2 linked regions of the Ovis aries genome follow. Each later gene encodes a partner of the first gene's protein in a complex. Links are inferred from orthologs where the notes say so. Each region holds a gene or a part of one and is shown in the gene's direction. Other genes may lie near its edges. The genes, in order: SMURF1 and SMAD1.

Region 1 (3,084 bases):
GAGCCCGTGTCAGCCACACGAGTCTTCCACACTGCCTGCTTGGGGTGTCTCAGCCCATGGGCCCGCAGCGGCGGATGCTGGCTGGCTGGACTGGTGTCCCCACGGGGCTGGACCAGGAACGACCCCACCAGCAAGGCCAGGGGGGCCGGGATAGTGGGTGGGTTCCCCGCGCCCAATAGAACAGATGGCGTTGGGGGAGGAAAGCAGCTATAAAGCGCTCGGGTCAACTTCAGAGTTCTCCCGAGCGAGCGCATAAGCACGCTGTGCAGGCTGGGCCCTCGGTCCCCTCATCCGTTGGCCCGCCTGGTCGGCTGCCTTGTCCAGCAGGGAGCCGTCCTCCCAGGTGTCCCTTTCGGCTCAGACTGGGTCCCCGGGAAGGGGGCTGGGGGCGGCCGTGCACAGTATTGCAGCTGAGCTCAGAAGGGGCTGTGGGGCTTGTGGTGGCTCCTCCACCCGGGAAGGGCCTCTCCTGCGCGCTGATGCTAAATCTGGGGGTTTTGTCACTTGATAACCCTGGCAGAAGGTTGAGAATACTAGTATCTTAAAACTTAGTAAGTGGACTTCACGTGTTCCTAGTGAGAGCGGGCAGGTTTCACGCAAACGTTCCCTGTAGCCTTGTCCTTAGCCTGAGGCCCTCCTGGACTGAGACGTTCCCTCCTGTCCTGGGGCTTTGGTCCTGGTGTTTGTGTCTGTCTGTCTTCCCACCGGCCTCTGCACAGGGGGTTTCCTGACTCCAGAACCCGCTTGCCATCCGCTGCCAGCAGGGGGTCTGCTTGCTAGACATTCCTGGTTTTAAAAACAAATTCCTGGTGACTTAAGGATTCTTTCAGACGCCTGCCCTGGGGCAGGCTCACGGTCGGCTGTGAGAGGACAGCTGTCTGTGCTCTTCTGCGCCCGTGAATTTCCTAGAATGTCTGATGTTAGTCACTCTGTGGCCACCATGTGCATATCCCGAGACTGCGCAGAGCTCCCAGGGTTATGTGCACCCGACACCGTCTGGCAGGACGGGCAGGGGGCCCCGGGTGGTGGCAGGGGGCCTGGGCCCCACCTCTGAAGCGTGTTAACTAGACTGTGGTCTCGTAAGGCTCTACAGGCGCCGCAGGGCCCCGGCTCTTCACCATCCACCTGATCGACGCCAACACGGACAACCTGCCCAAAGCCCACACCTGGTAAGGACCGGCGCCCCACCCTGGGGGTCCGTCTGCGGGGCAGCCCACACGTCAGGGTCAGCACGAGGCTCTTTCAGGAGCGCAGTTAAGTCCCAAGACGTGGCTGACCTTGGAGCTACTCCCCGACCCCTGCTGCGTGTGTGTGCGTGTCCGTGTGTGCGTGTGTGTCCCTGTGTGCGTGTTTCCCTGTGCGTGCGCGTACCGGTGCCGTCAGGAGGGGGCACTGCAGGTTTAAGTCTGGGGTTCCTGGTCTCTTCCTTCTTGGACCTCTGCCTGTGCCAGACGTCCTTGTGTACTGAAAAATGTTTCCTCCCTCAGTCTTCACTTAAACAATACTTGTAGTGGGGTTAGTCCCTTTGTGGTTTAAAAATCTATTCACTCATTCACCCTTGTGAACCACGTCGTGAGTGTCCCTCCAGTTGACCAGAACCGGTTCTAGACGCTGCCGGGACGCATGGTGACGTTGCGGGAGGTTCCTGGCTGGGAACCGGGGCTGGGGGTCCCACGCTGACCACGACATCCAAGTGGGTGGGCCTCCATGTCTGTGAGACAGAGGACAGCCCCCTGGCCCACGTGAGTCTGTGTCCAGCGGGGTCGACCCCCAGGGCCACCTCTCCCACCCCAGCAGGCTTATGTCCTTGGGGTCAAGGACCCCTGAAAAAGACTCCACACCCTGTAGCCTGACGCCTCCTCAGAAACTGTCCTAATGGCTTAACCCCTAGTAGTGCAAGAGGCCTCTGTGTGTCCTCTCAGTCAGAATTCTGTAGTTTTGGATTCATTGTGAGGTAAATAGATTCTTAGGGCTTTTGGACACAGCCTTGGGAATGAACATCCCTGAGGAAATGCTGGCCCGTTCATCTAATCCCGTTGGGGATCTGCCATCTTGTTGGTTTTGAGAGACAGTCTATCTCTGCCGGAAATACTCCGGACTGGCCAGCTGTGGTTAGCCCGGGTCCTGGAGAGTTTGGTGCCGGGCAGTGAGCCAAGAGTGGGGTTTAGACCACGGTGCTCTGCAGCTGTGATCCTGGTCTGAGAAGTGACTTCTCCCCAAACAAGAAACCAAACGAGGTGACAGCTTTGTCCTAATCTGCCCAGGATGCACTCACCTGGTTTCACTGGTTTGAAAATCTTTGCCCAAGAAGCCCCAGGTGTACACACAAGTGCTCAGCCGCCCGCCCTCGCCCCTCTCCCGGGAGCAGGCCCTCGGCCAGGCCAGCTCGGCGGTGTGTCTCACCTCTGTCTGTTTCCAGCTTTAACCGGATCGACATCCCGCCCTACGAGTCGTATGAGAAGCTCTATGAGAAGCTGCTGACGGCGGTGGAGGAGACCTGTGGCTTTGCCGTGGAGTGAGGTGCACCCCGAGGAGCAGACACAAGCTCACGGCCACCAGACCCCGAGCGGCAGCTCTCTGGATGCCTCTGTAAAGCCGGCTGAGGCCCTGGAATCCTAGAAACCCGAGGGAAAGGCTGGTCTCCCCTGCTTTTCGCTGGGGGAGCGAGGGGGCGGGCAGACTGCGGCTGGTGGCTCCTCCCACATTCTCCCCCTCCTGGCAGGAACCCCCCCCACATCCACCCCATCCAATAAACGCAGCCAGGTCAGCACGGCTTCGGTCACACGGGACCCTCCACTAAGGCCGCAGCACTCGCAGTGGCAGCTCAGTGCCCGTGGGCTCCATAGGAGTCTCGACCCCCAGGGAGGGAGCTGCGTGGGGCGGCCCGGGGCACACCCCACAGCTGGACCTGCTGCTCTGTCTCAAAGCCGACCTAAGGCCCCTTTTTGAGTTCAGCAGCTCGGATTCCACACCCCCCGTCCAGCGGCCTGCTCTGGGTAGCAGGTTAAGTTCTAACTGACAGTAACCGTAAAATAGATGCTTGCTGGAGTTCCGCCACTGCAGGAAGCTGGCGTCAAGACTGTG
Region 2 (4,264 bases), on another chromosome or scaffold:
CTATGGTTTTTCCAGTGGTCATGTATGGATGTGAGAGTTGGACTGTGAAGAAAAGCTGAATGCTGAAGAATTGATGCTTTTGAACTGTGGTGTTGGAGAAGACTCTTGAGAGTCCCTTGGACTGCAAGATCCTACCAGTCCATTCAAAAGGAGATCAGTCCTGGGTGTTGGTTGGAAGGATTGATGCTGAAGCTGAAACTCCAATACTTTGGCCACCTCAGGCAAAGAGTTGACTCATTGGAAAAGACTCTGATGCTGGGAGGGATTGGGGGCAGGAGGCGAAGGGGACGACAGAGGATGAGATGGCTGGATGGCATCGCCGACTAGATGGACATGAGTTTGGGTGAACTCCGGGAGTTAGTTGGTCATGGGCGGGGAGGCCTGGCGTGCTGCGATTCATGGGGTCGCAAAGAGTCGGACACAACTGAGCGACTGAACTGAACTGAATGTTCCATTGTATGGATATAGCATACTCTCTTTATCAAAGGAGGGTTTGAGCAGAGGAATGACCTGATCAGAGTGGCATTTAACAAGGCTCACTCCAACTATTGTTTCAAGGAGTAGAGAATGAAGAATTGTGTCAAATGTTGATTTTAGGGAAAATGAGATGAGGCCCAAGAATTGATCTGTAATTGCTCAAATCATTTAATGAAGAAATTAGCAGAAATAGTCTGATCTGTGTATAAACACGGTTTACATATTTCGGGGGACTTGTTGCATTTCCTTTGAATAATTAAACATGGAATGCAGAAATAATAAAATAGCTAATAAGAATTTTAAATGAATGTGCACATGTAAAAGTACACGAACAATTGGAGAGTACCATTAATTTTCTAAAAATACTGGTGGTAATGGTTCTTTTGGTACACGTGAAATTTATTCCTCAGAATAATTATTCGCCTCTAAACATAATTCATCATTATGGTAATTATCCAAGATTTCGTGCCAGCTTACAGAGAGCTGGCCAAGAGAAAAATTAAATCTTACAAAAAGACACTGTCAATGTCTATGCAGATCAGGTTGCTGGGAGTTAGTTCGTTTTATTTGGGGAAGTTCGTGCGTGACATTTGAAAGACTTAGAAACTGGATGGAAAAATTGTTAAGTTATATTGTGGTATTTGTCATCTGGAGCAACGAGGTAACCAACTGGCATCATTAGATCCCGAACTGGCATAAAACACACGTATTGATTGATTCAAGGTTTGCTATAAACACAGGCAATAGTCATTAGGTTATCCAGTTCTGCGTACGAGCAACTTTTGGGGCTTGCAAATCACTGAGTAAGTGAAGGGCAAGGAAAACTAGACAGTAAAAAGGCGAGGCTCGAAAGGTAATTGTCAAAATGCACTCTGCGTTTCCAATGCGGTTCGGTGGGCACGGTGGGAGTGTAGATGAACATTTCGGAAATAAACACTGAAAGCGAAACTTCACCGGCAGGTAAGGCACAAGTCGGTTCCCCCTGGACTCAAGGAGGCAGGGGCAGTAGTGTTTTCTCCTTGGAACAAGCGGGGCGTGGGGCTGGAGGCGGGGGAGGCGGCGCGGGCTCAGCGCTCGCGCCGGCAGGGCCGGGAATTTGGAGAGGATCCCTGGTCGGGCGGCGGTGGCGCGCGGGTGCGCGTGTGAGCGAGCGAGCAGGCGGGCGGGCGAGTGCGCCGAGTATTGGCAGCCGAGGAGTGGAGGCTGGGCGGCTCCGACTCCCTGACGCCAGCGCGACCAGATCAATCCAGGCTCCGGGAGCGAGCGAGCGGGCGAGCGGGCGGGCGGAGGAAGGAGAGGCCGAGCCGCTGAGCCCGGGCCGAGGCTCGGGGAGGGACCCTGCGAGCGCAGCGCGGCGCAGCTCCCGGTCGCCCGGACCGGGGCCGCGGGGGACCCGGCTCGCCCGGCCAACTCGTGCGCCCGCGCGGATGGGCGCGCAGCCAACCCGGTAAAACGAAACAGACCCGAACCCAACTTTCCCCTCCGCCGCGTCCCCGCCCTCCCCTCGGCGCTCCGGGCTTTCCAGCGCCGCCGCCTCGGGCTGGGGCGGGCGCGGGCGGGCCGGGTGGCCGCGACGGAGCGCGGGGCCGGTGGCGCGGACTGCGGCGGGGAGGGGGGTCTCTTCCCCGCGTGGGGCGGATCGGGGGACCCCCACCCCCGCCCATGATGGCGCCTCCCGGCCGCTCTAAAGGAGCAAACCTGCCACCTTTTTCCCTCGGCGCCGGACCAGCCGGGCTGGGCTCGGGCCGCGGTGCCCCCCGCGTCTTTGTTGGGTCTGCGGTGCGGAACCGCGCTCCGAGGCTCCCGGGCTCCCGGCCCTGGCTGCGCCCGGCCCTCTGCGGCCACCCTCCCCCTCCGCCGGTTTCCCTTTCCCTTCCTGCAGCCGGGCCTGGGCACTCGGCGCGGCCCGCGGGCCCATTGTGTCCCGCGCCGGCCCGGGCGACCCCTGCAGGAGTCGGAGGGCGGCCGCCGGCGCTGCCCTTTCCGCGGAGCCGGGCTTGCGCCAGGGGGACACCCGGTGCCCTGGGTCCCTCCGCGTGCGGGGCGGGCTCCCTCCTCTGCCCCCACTAGCCTCTTGGGGGTCGAGGTCAAGGAAAGTTCGCACCGAAATTCCCTCTAATTTATTCAAAGGTCTGGCGGCGGCGGCGTGTAAATTTTTTTTTTTTCTCTTCCGCCTACCCCCCCTCCCCCGCGCCAAGTCTCAGAGTGTCGTCTCATTCCTTTCCCTTTCCCGGATTCGATTGCCTCACTGCGTGTGTGTTTGTGAGTTCGCGGTGCAACAACTGTTCATTTACTCTGCGCTCGGTCTTTGTTAAGTGTTTCTCGGGGTTGTTGTTGCGGGAAGGTGGGGGTGGTGGGTGTGAAAGAGATGTGGGCTTGTTTTTCTAGTTGATTTATATATATTTATATATGAAGGCTTCCAGGGAGAGCGTTTTCTTGATGTACTTTGGGAAGGGCTGGGGAACCGATGCCTGCAGGATCTTACAACTACAGTAGCTGCGGCTTTTGTTTATTTTGCGGCGCGGACGTTGTTTCCATGCACTTGCAAGATCGCCGGTAAGGCACTTCCCTTTCTGAAAATCCGGGCGCGTCTCCCAGCCATCTCCCGAGAAAGCATCGTTGTCGAAAGGGCTGTGACAACCGGCCCCTGTTTGTTTCCCCTGAGGTTCTCTTGCCATTGTAGCTGAAGTTTCTTGAGTAGGTGGAATGACACAGAAGTTGCCTGATTTCTCGGTGTGCTGTTTCTGCTGCTGAAACTTTGAGCACGCCGCTCGATAGCAGAATGCCTTGATTTCAGAACATTTCTCGCTCTCGTGGCCTGCCGTGGATAGCGTGCTTACATTCAGGAACACAGTGAGAAAACTGTTCTCTGCGCTCTGTTGAGTTTTCATCTTGTTTCTAATAACCGCGTGATGCTTTATTGGAGGTAGGTGAGCTGTACTGGAGCCATGATTGAAAAAGAATCGGGACCGAATCAATGTTCACAGCCCCGGGATTTTTCAGTGGTTTAAATATTTTGCATCAGTGTTACTCTGTTGGAGGGGTCAGGCCTGAATATGCTGTAACTGATTTAAGTGTTTGTGCTCTCCTCTCCCTCCGTCCTTCCCGTTTGCAGTTATTTGATATTTCTGTGCAGGTGGTGTACATTTGTGCACTATTGCAATTCTTTAGGAAACTATAACCAGGGTCTTGGGAGGTGGTTTTCTAGAGGTGGGTGATGCCAAAGCCTCTGGAGGATCCGGGCAGGATCAGGTTTCTTCTGAGGGTAGGGATTTGTCCTTGATTTAGTTTTGACCGCTCCAGCCATAGGTATGTAACAGAATACATTTTTCCTTTTTTCAGTGTCCTTTGGTGTTATACCCCTGAGGAGCTGATGACCTTTGCATTTTAGAGAATTGACAATTCTTAGGCCATTTAAAATGTTAATTTATACCTCTTGGAATTCAGTTTTCTACTAAGCTCAATGAAGCATTAAAAGGAAGTATCTCATTTTTCCAAATACATTTATTAGTTGAAAACTAAACTGCAGTTTGTAATTTTGATTTCTAGTAATTCTGGGTTTAATAACTTGGTTAGATTGGAAAAAGAATAAACTTGAGTGTAATTAGATGAGTGTATTTAAGCTGCAGTCACCGCCATAATCAAGGCCAAGTTGTGTGTGTATAAAAGATCTCATTTGTGTAGTCTTACAAGGCTAATGGAGGCATCATTGAGGCTTTATAAATAATGTAAGTTGTGTATAATGTAGAGTCTCCAGAGACGGCACAGAAAGCATCATTACCAGCCT

The links.
Region 2: the proteins of SMURF1 (region 1) and SMAD1 are in contact, whole or in part, in an NMR structure (PDB 2LB1), measured with the Homo sapiens proteins. The link is inferred for Ovis aries from reciprocal best matches to the Homo sapiens genes SMURF1 and SMAD1. Residues at the interface, in NP_065162.1 of Homo sapiens: Glu313, Val314, Arg315, Ser316, Arg321, Tyr323, Val325, Asp326, His327, Arg330, Thr331, Thr332, Gln333, Phe334; in NP_001003688.1 of Homo sapiens: Asp221, Thr222, Pro223, Pro224, Pro225, Ala226, Tyr227, Leu228, Pro229, Pro230, Glu231, Asp232.

What each region holds. Positions count from the first base shown.
Region 1 is NC_056077.1:37,690,836-37,693,919, forward strand, and holds part of SMURF1 (E3 ubiquitin-protein ligase SMURF1), read left to right. Parts: intron 1-1,084; coding exon 1,085-1,169; intron 1,170-2,419; coding exon 2,420-2,519; 3' UTR 2,520-3,084. UniProt on the Homo sapiens protein: E3 ubiquitin-protein ligase that acts as a negative regulator of BMP signaling pathway. Mediates ubiquitination and degradation of SMAD1 and SMAD5, 2 receptor-regulated SMADs specific for the BMP pathway.
Region 2 is NC_056070.1:12,882,398-12,886,661, reverse strand, and holds the start of SMAD1 (mothers against decapentaplegic homolog 1), read left to right. Parts: upstream 1-1,238; 5' UTR 1,239-1,437; intron 1,438-1,715; exon of another isoform or gene 1,716-1,924; intron 1,925-1,991; exon of another isoform or gene 1,992-4,264. UniProt on the Homo sapiens protein: Transcriptional modulator that plays a role in various cellular processes, including embryonic development, cell differentiation, and tissue homeostasis.